2 linked regions of the Drosophila melanogaster genome follow. The gene in region 2 interacts genetically with the main gene of each other region. Each region holds a gene or a part of one and is shown on either strand. Other genes may lie near its edges.

What was found. A genetic interaction does not mean that the proteins touch.
Region 1: of Ac3 (region 2) and Pdfr, changing one suppresses a phenotype caused by changing the other (phenotypic suppression), as found in Drosophila melanogaster (one study listed by BioGRID).

Annotation. Positions count from the first base shown.
Region 1 is NC_004354.4:2,569,428-2,578,969, reverse strand, and holds Pdfr (Pigment-dispersing factor receptor), read right to left. Parts: upstream 6,765-9,542; 5' UTR 6,304-6,764; coding exon 6,124-6,303; intron 5,997-6,123; coding exon 5,540-5,996; intron 5,471-5,539; coding exon 5,360-5,470; intron 4,499-5,359; coding exon 4,347-4,498; intron 4,108-4,346; coding exon 3,850-4,107; intron 3,779-3,849; coding exon 3,482-3,778; intron 3,416-3,481; coding exon 3,152-3,415; intron 3,077-3,151; coding exon 2,916-3,076; intron 2,854-2,915; coding exon 2,517-2,853; 3' UTR 1,965-2,516; downstream 1-1,964. UniProt on the Drosophila melanogaster protein: Receptor for PDF, a neuropeptide controlling circadian behavioral rhythms. Probably regulates circadian behavioral rhythms through coordination of activities of clock neurons. PDF-binding results in the elevation of cAMP synthesis.
Region 2 is NT_033779.5:21,629,570-21,636,595, reverse strand, and holds the start of Ac3 (adenylate cyclase 3), read right to left. Parts: upstream 4,010-7,026; 5' UTR 3,891-4,009; intron 3,331-3,890; 5' UTR 3,291-3,330; intron 3,223-3,290; 5' UTR 2,970-3,222; coding exon 2,681-2,969; intron 2,177-2,680; coding exon 1,987-2,176; intron 1,871-1,986; coding exon 1,561-1,870; intron 1,505-1,560; coding exon 1,386-1,504; intron 977-1,385; coding exon 865-976; intron 1-864. Other genes in the region: Df31 (decondensation factor 31), read left to right, coding at 6,904-6,929.

The DNA.
Region 1 (9,542 bases), on a different chromosome or scaffold from region 2:
CAAAAGTAGGGTATCCCACAATCTTCGTGTGTTGAATACTATCCCACACACTATCTGACCCGTATTATTCATACGGGTCATACGGTATTCATTCATTCATCAAATATTCATTTGATGATCCATCAAATCATCGGATTAAGCTGCTTATGGGATGAAATTGCCAATTTAGCCATGCCAATTGGGGGATTCACGAGCGGCACGTGCCTATCCAAAAAAAAAAAATTAGGCAAACCTAATGGATCCCGAGCCCGAGTCCGATCCCAAATCCAGATGAAGAACGTAGACGATAGCCGAGTGCAGTTTAGATGTATGCATATAAAATCATGTTTATTCATTTTCCATCTAGCCTTATACACGTAATAGTTTGACATTGACGACCACTGGGGTTCTGGTTCTTAGGTTCCTCTCTTTTTAAATTCGGCTTGAATTCTTAGTTTCGAAATAGCGTGAAGCGAGTAGGAAACCAAAACTAAATGAAAACAAACACGATTCCACACACAAGATATTCCATTTAAAATGCATTGTAAGCTTAAAGCTAGGGTGATGAATATTCGACATTCGCACTGATCGCAGATCAGATGATGTGACATCGTGATTCCTTCAATCCGTTTGTTTCTGTTTGTTCCTCGTTACCATTCCATGTGCTTTGTACTCTCGTTATATGTGGTATACATACATATCTATGTACATATGTATATACTCGTATTATATGTACGAACTACTCTCCGACATTTTTCTGCTGCTTGCATCCGTGTAAATAACAGGTATGTAAATATGTATGCTTTATCTATGCTCTTGTAAATACCGTTACATCTATGTATGTATATTGAGCTTATTTAGAAAAAAAAAGATTAACAGTTACATTCATCAGCGCACTTCTTACACATGTGCAAAAAAAACTGTGGCCCAACTGCTGTTGGTAAATATACAAAAATATAGGATATATGTATGTATGCGTGTGTGTGTGTCGTGTATCGATCGATATCCGACTTATCGAACTCGCTTCTTGCAAAGAGAGCATACTTCGCGGCATTTTAGTTTTAGTTTAAGAACAGTTGCGCCTGCGGATGGGCGTGAATATTGTGTTTCGGTGTGTGTTGTTCTGAGTGTTGCTGGTGTGAGCGGTAAAGAGAGCGAGATGCACTAGGCTTTCGGCATTTGTATTTGATGGCTCTTTGAAATCGCTTTGGCTTTCGCCTTTGACTTTGTCATCGTCGCGATGGTTGCAATGGATGCTATTGTTGTTTTGGCTGCCGTTGTTGTTGTTGATGTTGTGGTAATTGTTGTTGCTACCGCTGCAAGCGTCGACGTCGGCGGCATTTGCGACGTCATGAATATTTGCTGCGTCTTTTGCGAGCCCGGCATCACACATTTGTCCTGCGAACGAAAGGCGAGAAAGAAGAAAAAGAAAACGAAAACGAGAAGAGTCCGCCAAGAGAGCCGCATTTTGAGTGGGAAACAAGGAGGAGAGAATAGCCGAAAAGATATTTATTGCATTTATGTGTCTCCGATTATGGACCCCATTAGTTAAATATCGATTGTGGCAAAGTTTTTGTTGCACAACAAAGCGCAGCTAGCAAAATTCAAGGCAGTTGCAGTGAACGTGATCGATTGTAGCTGGCAGTGTGACCAGCTCAGGAACGGAAAGTGTAAGCTAATCAAAGTGGTAAAGAAAATGTAAATACAAGTAAACCCAAATCTTAAAACTTAATAACGGAATCCGATGAACAGCAAGTTCAACAGTTGATTAAAGGTGAGTTCCTTTAAACAATGTCACTTTTCAATTATGTTATGTAATAAGTTCTAATGGCTCACAAAGCCTGGCCACACTGCGCAGTTACCGCAAGTTTGTGTTAATTCACTTAAATATTTCAATCTAATATTTAAATATGAATAGTAGAAGTAAAAGAACATGCCGCTGAAGTTTTGCTGAAAAATTCATCGAGTAAGAACCGTGTGCGAGTGTTTTTGAATGTATTTGCGTGTCCAGAACAGAAGGTGACGCTATTGGAAATTTATTGTCATCAAAAATATTTTGTAAAACTTGTAGGGAAATTTGAATTTTCGTAGGATTAGCCGATTTCGAAAGGATAGGAGATTTCTAGATTTTGGAAAGGGTTTGGATATGGCTTACACAAATAAAGGTATGTATGTATTTACATAAGTACAGTGGAGCAAGAACCGAAGGCAAGCGAAAATAACTATTTAAATTAAATGTCTATTGGTTTAATTTGAATTACAAAACAATGAGCTTACTTTCTGTTCAAAATGATCTTGGGTATAAGAACTGCGATATTTTGTTGGGGTATTTTACATATGTGCTGTTTCCAGCTGGCTTGCTTGGTGGGTCGATGGGAGATGCAGGAATAGTCGGGTTCTGGGTTATCTTTGGGATCATTTCCGGTCCGATTGTGTGGGTGCTGGCTACTGTGGTGGTGGGCTACATGGCGTTGGCTACTTCTACGGCTATTTGGCTACGGCTATGGCTACATCTATTAGTTAGGCTAGGTTTTGGTCTACTGCTCTGACAACTCAAATACAACTGACTCGGGTGGCACGGATGACGCTGACGGTACTCTTAGTACCTTTTGACCCCGGAAGCAGATGCCCATTATCCACTTGGAGCCGCGAGTTCGCGATCTCGCGCTGCCCGCCTCCTTGCTGTGAATGTGGGAGATGGTCGGATCCGGCTCCGCTTCCGCATCCGTCTTCTCCACCCGGTCCTTGCCCTTTTCCCGCGCCTTGTTTTGCAGCCGGGGCATCAGTCGCTGGCGCTGTTGAGGCTCGTGAATCATCACAATGCTGGCACTGCTCGGCTTTCTTCCATTCAGCCTTTTATTCGGCGGTGATATTCTGGGAGTTTTAAATTGATGTAAGGAGTTTCAAGGTGGGGTGTGCACAAAGCGGATGCTTACCGCTTTCCAGTGGCCGATGGATCTCCTGCAGGCTGCACTGCATCCGTATCCGGCGCCGTGTTATAAGCACCCGAGTACATAGATGCCCTTTTCGGCGCCCATTCCGGATGACCTCGCACCGACAGCTGGGTGGCCAGACTCTTTAGTAGCACGGCACGAACCTAAAAAATATATATTTTGGTTGGAAATAGTGAGGGTTTTAGGCAAATGGACAACTGAGTGACTTGATGTCTTACCTCGCCATTTAGAAAGCAGTAAATTAGCGCTATAAAAAATCCCTGAAACGAGGTGAGAAAGTGGGTGCCATACGACCAGACCGCGAAGTTCGTGGCCGTTTTCAGAGGAGCCAGCTGGTGCAGGAGATTGGTTATACCCAAAAGTGGTAGTAGGACTATAGCCGCTCTAACTGCCTTGCGAGTCTGTTCTATATCGCTGGCCTGCGATTGACGCAGCTTCATTACCAGCACTCGGATAATGTTCACCAGGAAACAGAAGTTTAGCTGCATGCGGATGTTTTCAGTTGGGTGAATAGGTGATTAAAGCGATCAACAGTTGATATTACCCACCAGTATGACCGCTAGTCGTGGCCCCTCGAGGATCCAGTAGTAGGGCGTGAGATTATAGTTCCACAAGCATTCGCCCAGCGAGGTGTCCATATACATGACCGTGCATCTCGCCCACACGGTGGTCATCAGAATGGGCACACACCAGCCGAGTCGCGAGAAGAACTTGAGGGGAAAGCTGCCCTGGAAAACGGCCACGGTGACCATGTTGTGCAGGTAAAGGCCCTCGATGAACATCCACATGAACATGGCGGTACGAGCGTACTCCAGAAGTACATAGGATGCTTCGCACAAATAGGGCTGTAGAACATAACATATAATATCGAACATAAGCCTTATACCTTATCCTTATGCGGGAATATTAAGCCTACCGTGTTCTCAATGACAGAGAGACTCGTGTTGGTGGCCGCCTCCTTGTTTCCCCGCCGGAATTGGTCGAGATACAAGGTCAGGCGAATGATCACCTGCAGCACCATGGCGACGAAAAGATTCTTGTGGATCTTGGTGCGATTGTTTCGCAGCGAGCGAAATGTGCAGAAGATCAGCAGGGAAACTATAAGGGCGAACAGGGAGAGGCAGAGGCCCACGATCTCCAGGGTTCGAGTCCTCCTGGCAATGTCTATGTAGGCCTAAGGGATATCGCAAACCAGTTGGAAGAAATGGAATTAAAACTACTACTATAAACCACTATCAACAAATGTAATCAGGCCTTTGAAATCACTTTTTAGGGTGTCTAAAAAACTTGGAACCCTATTAGGTAATTTCAAAACCATACCCTTGATTTGGGATTTTGGTTGGCATTTAAGCAATGCTCTTAACTATAACTGAAACAGGTATTATGATGTAGTGTGGAAAGAATTCAACTCACATCGAAGTCCTTGCTGCCCATCTGCTGCATGAGACGGATAATCTCCGGCTTGTAACACGGCCCGTAGTCCGTCCATCCCGGCGGATTCACCTCCGTGGCATTTGGCCTGCTGCCCCATCGACCATCCAGCTCACACTTTCGGATGGCGAATTCTGCGAACCGAAAAAGAGGGAGGTTGGGTTGGATTAATGACAGTAATCGAGCTTTGACACACTGACTGACAAGTGCAATTATGCCAATCGAATGGGCGACCGACCTCGTCCAGTTGAAAATATTGGGGCTAAAAATCTAGACACGGCCCGGAGAAATGAGGCCGTAGCTCAACAATGCACTCGAATAATTATTTCTTAACAGATATAGTTCGATATGCCTAGATTTTGCACCACAAGCGCAGATAATACATTCACTAGTGATAATGGAAGAGCATTTTAAGTTTGTAAAATATTGGGTGGTAAGTCAGCTACTTAGAATCTTTTCGCTCAGTGTATATCGCCCATGGTTATTAAATAGCAATTCCCCATTGCAGAACGTTTAATTTATCGGAGGGGTAGAGCAAGCATTTAGGATCGTAATTAAGCAATCGATTGGCTGGTGTTTTAAACCCTGTTCAACTGGCGGAGCTCGAGGGTGCACATGAAACACCTGGACAGCCCCCGGCGATGGAAGCCAAGGAGGGGCGGCCCCGACTGGGAGTGCGGTTGATTGGACGCCCCCAGTCATGCATGTAAATATTGACATCCTTTCGATGAATACGGAATCAAGTAATTGTTTGCCGTGCACCACTTGAACCGTTTCCCAGCTAATGATCCGTATGATTGTGACCGCCAGATATGCCGTGTGGATGGGATAAACACCGTAGGACATGTCTTTTGACTCCTAATAAGCCGGCAGAAGTCATAAAGCTTCTTGTGGCTGCTAAACAGCTAAACAGCTTCAACGATTAATTATGCTAATTGTACTCAGCATGTTCTTTTTCGGCTGCTTTTTTTTTAGAGTGTATTTCAGTTACTTACTGCGCGTATCTACGCCATGAAAGCCGCCAGGACAATTCATCCGTGCAAGGACTCCAGCCGGAGTGGGTGGCCAGCAGAGCAATGTGTCCCAGGTCCAATTGCAGTAGAGTCCTATCCCGGCAACAAAAAAAAAAAAAAAAATACTGCAATATGATTTAAAAGTTATTAGGCTTTAGGTACCTGTTTGTGGTAGGGTGTAATTGACAAAAAGCGCCGAGCAGTTCTCGAAATTGGTGGCCGCTGCCGACGCAAGCGTTAGATTCCAGGGCGCGCTGCTGTTGAGATTACCGAGAACCTGTTCCGTGTCCGAATCGGGCAGTGCGTCCATGACGGTGGGCTCCAGGGCCAATTGGGCCACCCTGGCGACACCGTCGAGGACATACGTTCCCGGCGATTCCGTTGTCGAGGCATCGAAATCGTGCAGTAGTGGCACGCGTCCGGTCGCCAGGCTGTGCGAGGATGTTGGCTCCAGCATGGATTTTGATTCAAATGTTCCGGCCGTCGGTGCAGATGGGGATGGTCCTGATGAGCCGGACTGGCGCAGCAGGCGGGTGAAGCGCTGGGCGGAAATACAGCCTCCGCAGTCGAGAATGTTCGACAGGAGGGTCATTTTGCCATCGACCGCATAGTAAATGTGCTGCAAAGCGAACAATGAACATCGTTGTTATTTACGCACCAGCATTATATCGAGTTATATCGTTCTAAAAAAAAAAAAAAAACAATCCCAAACCCATCAAACTTTGTACGAGTTAAACCCAACCAACCAATGAGTCTGCATGGCGAACACGACCTCCAGAACACGGAGCTTTGTCTTTCGATATTAGCATTGGACCCATGGACATGCATGCATTGGCTGCAATTGAAAATTGATCTCTTTCCATTTCGATTTCGATTTCCGCTTCCGTTTTCGTTTTCGTTTCCGATTTCCGATTTCCCGCACCCATGCGCCCCGTTATCCGGGTCAGATTTAATTGAAAGCTTATCGCACAATGAGACGTACGTCGACCGGTGCCTTTGTTTACCGGATCTTATTCTCGTTGGCAGAGTGCCCGTCGTTAACGCAGTTTATGATTGCCCCTAATAAATACCCGGCTTATTTATAGTCCCGCTGCACCGGAGTGCAAACATCACGCCCACACGCTACGACGCCATATGTATGCACATACATACAATACACATATCATTGGCATTCGCATTCGCATTCGCACTCGTATCACCCACATCGCACCGATTGTCGGGATTATGCCTGGCGAAATGGCAAATGGCCAGGAGCACCACATGCACGCAGAAAAGAAAACAAGTGAGTTGTTTACACATTTCAAATATTTTTGAATTGGGCATTGAATTGCATGGCATTGCAACGATCGCCACATACCAATTTCTTTCTGTGCAGCAGGAAGAGGAACTACGGGCTATGTGATGAATTGTAATTGCAACAACAGTTGCACTAACCCTTTTCCAATTTACGTGTCGGCTCTTTTCGGAGAAGTGTAATCTCTGCACAAGGAACAGATTAAAAATGAGCAGCTAAAACTTTGTATGAAGAACTCAAGGTCCTGCAAACAACTGATGATACGATCGTGCAGACTCGAAAATGTAATGCTTTTATCATTGCACAAATGAGATGGAGTAATTCCCAATGAAAAACAACAGCTTGTTTATCATTTAGTGGCACGTTTTGTGAAAAACAAGATTTCATATTTTAATGACGGCATCACATATTTTCCTCTGCGCAATTTATGGCCAAGGCTAAACGGAATGTAAATTACTTCAATGACAATCGCACACGACAAATTATGATTTCTTCCTGTCTTGGTTGCGTTGCAGCAGCAGCAGCAGCAGCAGCAAATGGCGGCGGAATGGCACAGGAAACACGTTGCCATTCGCTTTTTTTTGCCTCAACTTTTATTTCTTTTTCTTTTTTTGGTTTTTTCACTTCCGGAATTGCGTAAACAAGCCATGCGGAGGACGGTCGTCCAAAGTGGCCAAAGTTGCACATTTTGCTCATGTTGCCCATGTTGCTTGTGTTGCTTGTGTTGCTTGTGTTGCTAAGCTGCCCCAAAAATGCCTTTGAGTGCATTTTATATAATTTCATAAGAATTTCAATTTCGCCAGTAGTCGCTGCACACGAATGCATGCATGCAGGCTATGCTCCACCCACACGCTCACCCACCTCCCTCCCCCCCCTCAGCTATCCATCTCTGCATTTCCGCATTTCCGCATCCCTGGGGGCATTCCACTGGCTTTGTACTGCTCAATATGTATTTTGGTTGCATAAGCGCCAGCGTCAGACGAAGTGCAGCATTAGCAAAAACTTTGCGACTAAGCACTCCCACAGCGCAAAAAATCAACGATATATACGGTATATGTATATATATATATATATTTAAAATATATAATTAAGTAATTAAGATATTAAGCCTTTCGGGAGCCTTGAATTCGCTGCTTATTTACCAATCGATGCTTATCGCCGCAGCGAACCGATTCTCAGCTCGCGCTCGTAATTAAGCTAACTAAGCGCAAAATCCCCTCCAAAGCGACTGAAAAGCCAGTGGCGGGGCCAGGGATTGGAAACGGTTTGGTTTGGCTTGGCTTGGCTTGGCTTGGATTGGATTGGATAACCAACTGGATGGATGCTGGATGCCGCGATTCGGCATCTCCAAGCAGACAACAGACCCTGATTTGGGTCACTTGGCAGCAGTTGCAGCGTGCGGGTTATGGGGTTGAGGGATTAAGGGACCCCTTTAAATACTTGTGCAATTTAAAGTTAGCACCAGTCAGAAACAGAAAGTAACTAAAATTTAATTACATTGAGGAAAGTGGTTTGTTCAACTGCAATTTGTTTGTGTGTAAAGTGTGTACAGAGTAGAGCTTACAAATATTATTGGTAGTTGGTAGTTGGCAATCGAGAAGAGGCTTGTTAATCAAAATGTTCTTGCATATTACATAAGCACATTTTTATATTTATTACGCCCTTGGCATATATTTTTTTTTTTGACTTGAGCAATCCATTTTCAGGCCGATAATTGAACGAGCTCTGGACTCGATTGTTTACAATTTGGAAACCCAAACATGCTGGGCCGTTTGAATAATTAATCAACTTTCTTATTGAACACTCAGCAATTCAATTATTTAACACGCATTGCAATGCCCCAAATAGCTTGTCAATTCCACTTGATGGGTGGATACTCATAGTGGATAGTGACAGGCAATCAGGATTTATGTGAACTTAAATTCGTTAGTGGACGGAGCTTTAAATGTGCAATAAGTGCAATCAGCAATCAACAAGATTATAAAGTAATTTCAGCTGACGTCGCTCGACTTGAAAATTGGGTTGATTGAGCCCCAAATAATGGGCGTGCCCCTTTTGCCGATCGATTGTTTTAACATTTTCATCGGCCCAAGTGCAGTCGAAGTTTTTTGTTTTTTGTTTTTTTTTTTTTCAAATTTTCAAGACTTGGTGTTTTTCTTTTTCGGTAGGCCGGGAAAAATCGCAAAGCCCGGGGAAATTCATCTGCAGGCGTTGAAGCGTGTTTTTTTCCCCGTATATTTCTTTGCCATAATTATGGGGAAAATGAAAGAAAATGAATCTCAAGAGCCGCCATTCAGAGAGACGAAATGCATTGAATGGGCCAATGCTCGCTAACAAAAGGCTAGTGGGCAAAGTGGTGAGGGTGGGGGACGGAAAAGCGTGTGGCAAGCGGGTGGAGGTGCACGAAAAACTGGTTGGTCTTGGTTTTGGCGGCTAGCGACGCTATTTGAAAAGTTTTCGCGCTATTTGACAAGCCAAAAGACTTTTCACTGCGGGGTTTCTTTAGCCATAGAGTTGCCATAGCAAGTACAGTGCGTTGCGTGTGTGTAGGCCCAATTAAATTGGGCTTAATTAAGTTTTAGTTTCGAATAAAGAAATAAACTTTCGAGCGCGCCTAAGTGATAACCACAAACCAATTGTAATTATTGTGAACTGCGAATGTTTTTAAAACATTATTACCTTTACAATTGGGTCACTTAATAATAGGCAAGTAACGGCACTTGTTAGTTATAAATACTACACTCGGATCAAAAGTGCACTTTAAACTAAATCTTTTGGTCATATTCCGTGTCGCGGCAGCTCATTAATGTTGGCTTGCATTTGTGTTTGTGCCAATTAGGGCGGCACAAAGGATTTTCTAATTGCAAGTGC
Region 2 (7,026 bases):
TATCTGATAGTAGAGGATCACGACTATAGCATTCTCTCTTGTTTTAACTGAATTGATTTTATTATAGTTATTTATAAGATTTAAAAAAATTTGCAATTCAAGGAGAAACAAAGAAAAACAACCTAATTTCCACTAATTTCTGACGTTGTGGATTTTTGACCATTTTGACATTTGAACCATACAGAAATGATTTATAAATCTATTACTGTCTTAAAAGTGTAGTCTTGTGACTACAACTTGTACTAGGATAACACCATAAATTTTAACTGTTCAAAAACATCACATTTAATTGTATATTTAACTGTTTAAAGAATTAATGCTTTCAACATGCGTTTGAATCGCCCTTTATCGGAATTCTGAAATGGTATATACCAAGGTTTTTGTTTAATTTGGATCAACGACTATTAAAAAGGTGTTTTGGCCAACGAACAGAGTTCCTTCTGTGTCTCATTACAATAAATTATACAAATGTGTATCCCCTTTTTTTGTATATCCGTTAATCGTGGATATACTAGTACACACTCGTAGAGGATGTAATAGATAATTTGAAAAGTATTTAACAGGTAGGAGGAAGCTTTTCCAACAAAATAGAGTACTTTTAATAAAGTCTACTACATAAGTCAATCTGACCATGTCTTTCTGTCAATATAAAGAATCTGTCTCTTTTTAATAAATGTAAGCGACTGCATACTGTTAAAAAGTTCACGTTATGTGGTTTGTAATATAATTTAAGAAGAAAAACTTTTTACGTGGTTTAGAAATAAACATTAAATATAATGAACATAATACAAAATTAAATGACAACGAGGTTTTAAAATAATCAAAATCATTAACAGACAACAATTTTATATTTTGCAAATTTACCTCAGCAAGTCTGTCGAAACGTGCAAAGAGCTCGTTAAGCATTTTTACCAAATCTTGCGCACTATATGTGGAGGAGATGGCGGTAAAGCCAACGATATCCGCATATAGAATGCTTGTTTGAACAAAAAAAAAATAGGAAAAATATTTTGAAATTTATTTGCAGAGGCAGTGTAAGTAAAATAGAGATTAAATAAAATACTGACACATTTGAGAACACACACAATGAGAATTAAGAGCTTAGGAAATGTAAAGTTCATATTGAGGAGCGTGAAATACTTTCGATGAATGAGCTTTGCGAGAATATAAAAACGTTGTGATATATTTGATTAAAATAAAATTTGGTGGTAATGGACATATAGTATTGTTTTATATTAGCGACAATGAACAGGTTCTAAGCGTTTTTTATCAAGTTAAGAAAATTCTGTTTTATGTACATTTGTATGTATATTTGAAATATTAAAACGAATAACTAAGAATTTTTTATTTTTACAGCTTGAAGAGTCAATCGATTTAATGCTTACCTTACATTCTCGTGCCGACTCATGTAAATTTTTTTAAAAGCCTCGGAACTGGATGATCCCAAATCTTCCCGCATCTTAATAGCCACATGCTTTGGCAGCACAGACAATAGCAGACGCTCCTAATAGGGGCAAATTTTATATTTCATATCCACGGTCAGTAAAACAGAATGCAAACCTGTTCGGCCGACTGTTCCTCTATGACCATTTTAACTTCAAGGCTCTTTTTGGCCTCGAGAAAGGCTCGTTTCTGCTTGGCCTCACCCATAAAGTAGTACAAAAGGCCTATCAGCGCTGCCGTGGCTATCAAAACTGCATTAGCCGCTAATTGGTTCGAGAGCAGCGAGTCCCAGTGAGAATAACCAACAGGGAGACTGAGGCAAATGAAATATGTGATACATCCAATCGACAGACCAAGAAAAATCAGCTGTAATGGCAGCGTCACATAGACCAAGAAATTTAGAAGGATGGCCCAGCCAAGTAGGTCCCTGAAAGCGATGAAGAAATTGAAAGCACACATGAATTGCTTCTTGCCCTTTGTATAATTGCAAAATACACTTTGTGGAGTCCTCCAGTATTTATCATTTTAATTGTAATAGCTTACCTTGGAGAAAAACTAGGCTGCAGAATAACATAAACGGTAAAATGAAGAATGCTTAATAGCCACAGTGCCCGTGGCACAATAATCAGGAGTATTTGGTGGAAGCGCCTCAGTGCCGGTTTATCAGAACGGCGTCCAATATGAAGGAGCGCTGTCAATGCCAAGTAAGCTAACAGCATACAACAGTTGATCACTAGAATATGGAATAACATGAAATTATTTGATATAACTTATTTTAATTATTGTAAAAAAAACACTTATGCTTAGTTCCAACTTGTTGGTTCTTATAGTTACCGAGATCTCGATGTTCATACGGACAGAGAGACGAACCGACTCTATTAAACAAAAAAGTACGCAGTATCATTCTGGGCGTAAACAATATTTAAATTAAAATCAAGAGAGTACGTGAATGTTGGCAGATTGACGATTTTTCATTTTATACCTAAATAAGTACTCTGTCCATCCAAGCTTATAACTGAAGCTGAAGAAAATTTATTTTTGGACATATATAAAAATGAATAAAATAAATTGATAAATTGATTCCAACAGGAAATTACACGACTGTAATCATTTAAAAAGTTATTCTTATAAATATACATTGTCAGATATGAGGTATAAGTTATGTACACATCCATCCGACAAGGTCTTTAACGCGATACTAATTTCTTTAAACAATTTATTTCTATTCATAGCTCACCTCTCGTAGGGGCCGACTGATCCCAGGGAATTCCGATGGTCCATATGTTAAACAACGCGGCCGCAAAGACAAACCACTTCAATCCACTGCGGCGTTGTTTGATGGAGTAGTTGTGGTAGAGTTCGTTAAGCACGTGCTGCGGCAAAATGACGACTCCCCCACCGGTGATTCCCACGCCTCCGGCCACATCGCTGTCGTTTTGCCGCCGTCGAGATGTTGTTTGACGCTGCGAATGCGATTTGCTTGTCGAGGCGATCGTTTTCTGACCGTTCTCCAAATTTGCTTCCATCTCGTTTGTCTAACTTCTAGGATGTTATTCGTTGTTCGGAGAGCTTATTTCGTATTTGTGGTTTAGTAATAAAGCGACACCATGTCCTTGGTTTATTTGTTTGTAATGTGACAAGAACATAAAATAGTTCACTTGTCTGAATCGAAGCACTGCAAGGCAAAATCGAAATACAGGGACAAAGTATAAGCAAGTAATCTTGACACTTATCGGTGCATCCTCCGTCCACTCAAATTAAATGCACTGCGGAAGCGTCCTTGAGAGAGAGAGAGCGGTGAATATTCTCATATGTACAACTGTTAGAGCACGAAAGTGTGTGCTTACCTGCATATGGCTGTACCGCACATTTATTGCCGTAATGGAACTGTTCAATGACAACATAAAAAACAAAAACATTATAAATATCAAATGTTGCCTAACCACTACAGATAAGTTGGTTATCATATTGAAATTGTTCTGTTAAAACTCGTGATCCTTTTTTGCAGCATTCGACACCATAGTAGACCACGGTAACTGTAATCAGAAAATTTCGTCCGCTCTCTCGCTGCTCTCTACCCCACCGCTGCCTCTTTCTCTTCATATGACTACCTCTTCATTTCCCCATTGAGAAATATTCGACTGACAAACTAAGTAACACACACCTCTCGTCCCTTTTCTTGTGGAAAATCACTTTCTTGTCTAGGTATGCGCGTACATGTGTTTCTCCTCTTTGTGTGAGTTAGGCTCAGTTTCTCAAGGCTTGTTTAAATGCTCTATTTGATTTCATTTGTATAACAGCTCGCGAGCGTGTGTACCCTCTGCCTATTGCAACAAACCCTCGTTTGCTTTAAATTTGTATCCCAGTAACTAACAGCTCCAGCATATAAGTCCAAGATATTTGGAAGTTATTGATAACCGTCCGCCTTGATTACTTCCTTAACATACGTTTGCTATGCTGGTTATTTGCTTTTTCGATGTGTTAAATTTTTTCTGCTAGCAAGTTTGCACGCAAGACACCGAGCAATATCCTTCGACTAAACTAAGCCGCCCCGATAAACTTGACTGATTGTCGATTTCAGCCTCACCAGCAAGGACCTCCGTTATTTCATGTTTAAACGCTCAGAGGTCGAACGAGAGCAAGCTTTTTCGGCTGAAAGCTCGTTTTTGCGCATGCGATCGAAGCAATGCACTGATAACGGTACAGCTGGGCTATCCTGATAAGAGTCCCTTTGCACAATAGCGTATTCAGAATATTACCGGAAGAGCATAAAGTTAATTAAATCTCATTAAGGTCTCCCGCCAATAGGCAACCACTGACCGATGAAGAAAACGTCATGAATGCAGCTGACCTTAAAATGAGTGCAGCTGCTATTTGACAGCGCCTGTGTGAGTGTGTCGGGGTGGACTGCACTATGGGAAACCTAACCACTTTTTCTGGCCAAAATTAATAACTTCAGAACGGAGAAATTTATTAGGAAAAAATTCGACAAAATTTAAAAATTGTTCAAAAGTGTGGACGTGGCCGGTTTCGCGGCTTTAAAAATGCTTATGTATGGCAATTTATATTTTTATCGAATTTTGGGTTGAACATTTTTTTTGCTTTTGCCACTCACTTACTCATAATGCAAGCCACACTGATTAAATGCCTTACAGAATGTAAATAACGCTTCAGAAAAAAATTGGTTAATTTTTCATAGTAGAGTTCTGTTGCATTTATTGATGTCCACTAAACATAGTATACAAACATGAGTAAGAGATATTTACGTTATACTTTTTATACATTAGTAAGTAATTTGGGGACCAAAGAATTTTATTCAGAATAAAAAAAAGGCATTTCCAAGTCTATTTTTCTAAATGTTATTTTTTAAATACCACAAATTATGAATTTAGTAAATAGATCCGTTGATTTTTTTCCTTAAAAAAATCTACTGATTTCAAATCAAAGCCCGCCTCAACGATGTAAAAAAACTAGTAACGATGACACCTTTACTGCTCTGAAATCATCTTTTGTGATGAAAATATAATTTTGTTCTGTTCAAGAATATAGGTATCTTCATTGATATGTACGTGCTTATCTACGTATATAATTCTTTGCTGCGAACTTAGACATTAGAGCATAACTGATTTGAATTCAATCTTTTTTGTGCGTTCAAGGGGATTTCAAAATGGTTGAGAATATTAACCTTAGACCAGTAGTGCCCAATTTCCTGCGTCGCGGAAAAATCTGTTTTCTTTAATTATTGGTCGATATATCGCCTTAGAATATCGTGTCGAAAGTTTCAAAAGCTAATTCTCGAAATTTTGGGAGATGCCCTTCGGATTTCGGAAGTCATACTTTCCTTGACGGCAATCTTTAAACCATGTTTGGTTCTATATGAAGTAAAGACTTTTCAATACAAACGAATGCCTCGTTCCTATAATTATATTTTAGAAACAAGAAACAACCCCAAAGCAAGGCTAAATGGAATAAACCCAAAATTTTACAGACGATGAAATCGAAAACCCGAAACAAATCACCCACCTGTAAAGCAAACATCCGTTGTCCAATTTTATTAAATCAGCATGTTTTCACGTTCCAAGCCGACACTCACAAGCTCGAAAGCAAAAGTTTGAATTTCAATAAATAAAATCTTAAAAATCTAATAGCGCTTGTATCCAAGAGCGAATGCACTTCACTCCAAAAGCCAAAGACACTAGATTATTCTAGTGTCTTTGCAAAAGCCCATTAAAATTTTACAGCCCAAAGTCCATATTAAAAAAGCTCGAGACCGAGGATTGATCGTCAATCAATATAGATCAATAAGTGGAGTTTAGCATGAGACCTAAAATTAAATGTTGACTTATGAAAATTGAAAACTTGTAATTATATGTATGTATAATAGCGTCTATGTTCTTCGGCAATGGAATCTCAGTCCTAGTGTATTGTTTTCCTTGCCAATAGCCTAAAATATTGTAAAATTTTAGTGAAGCAGAAAATTTACCAGCTGCCTGGTAGCGCACTCTAATTCTTTTTTCTATTATACCGATCAAGGGACGCAGACAAGGCCACTATACATATGTATGTATGTACGTACTTATGCGTGCATATCTGACTACCTGAAAATGTTTTCAGAGGGGTGAGGATTATTTCCGTCGGTTTTATGTGTTTGATTACATACATATGACATATCTTTAAGATATTATTTTTAAGATCTTGTAGACTGTGTAATTTACAAGGAAATTGATTGATGTAATTTAATAAAAAGCTTGAATTTTTTAAAAATGACGATATGTGTATATATATATATATGAACATACATGTTTGTGTGTTTGTTTATTTAATTTTTAGGAGTACCGGATCAAAAAAAAAACTTAGAATTGGGAAGGTGTATTACACGAAAAATCACTCAGGTCAATGAGAAAAACAAGGATAGGAATGCATTTGAATATTTTACCTGCTATATTTGTGTAGCCGCTAAATAATAGTTAAAAGGTGGCAGCCCTTTTTAGGGGACCGTTATTTTGAAATATTTGTCACTGCTATATTTCATCTCTTTAATATATTAAAATAAAATTGTAAAAATCTATCAGCATAAGCTAACTCCGAATTAAATAGAGAACGGGTGATAACGATAACAAACAAAGATATGTTTTCCGGAGGCGGAACTATCGCAAGCGGACTACCGACGTCTACCAACACTACAGGGCGGCGCTTTAAAAGCCGGTCCGACGCTCACCGCTCTCTCATTCGGCGTTTTTCTTTGTGACTGTGTGGACGTTCTTAATTGTACGGCAAAATCTCCAGCAACCAAGCTACTTTCTTAGCAAAGCTACTAAAGAGGAAACTATATTGATAAAATTTCGTTCTTTTAAAATCTTTGTGCTGATATTTAAGGCGTGCTTGGTGATCCAAAAACCCTCAGTTACAACGTGTTTTCTCGCTTCGCGTTTGAAAAGTAATATCTAACAGTAATTCAAAATGGCTGATGTGGCTGAGCAAAAGAAGTGAGTACTTTGCTTGCCTTGTTTTCGGACGTTTGTGGATTTTGTTTAAGCAATGGACTTGTAGCGAATTTTGCTAATGAAAATCTATGTTATTTGC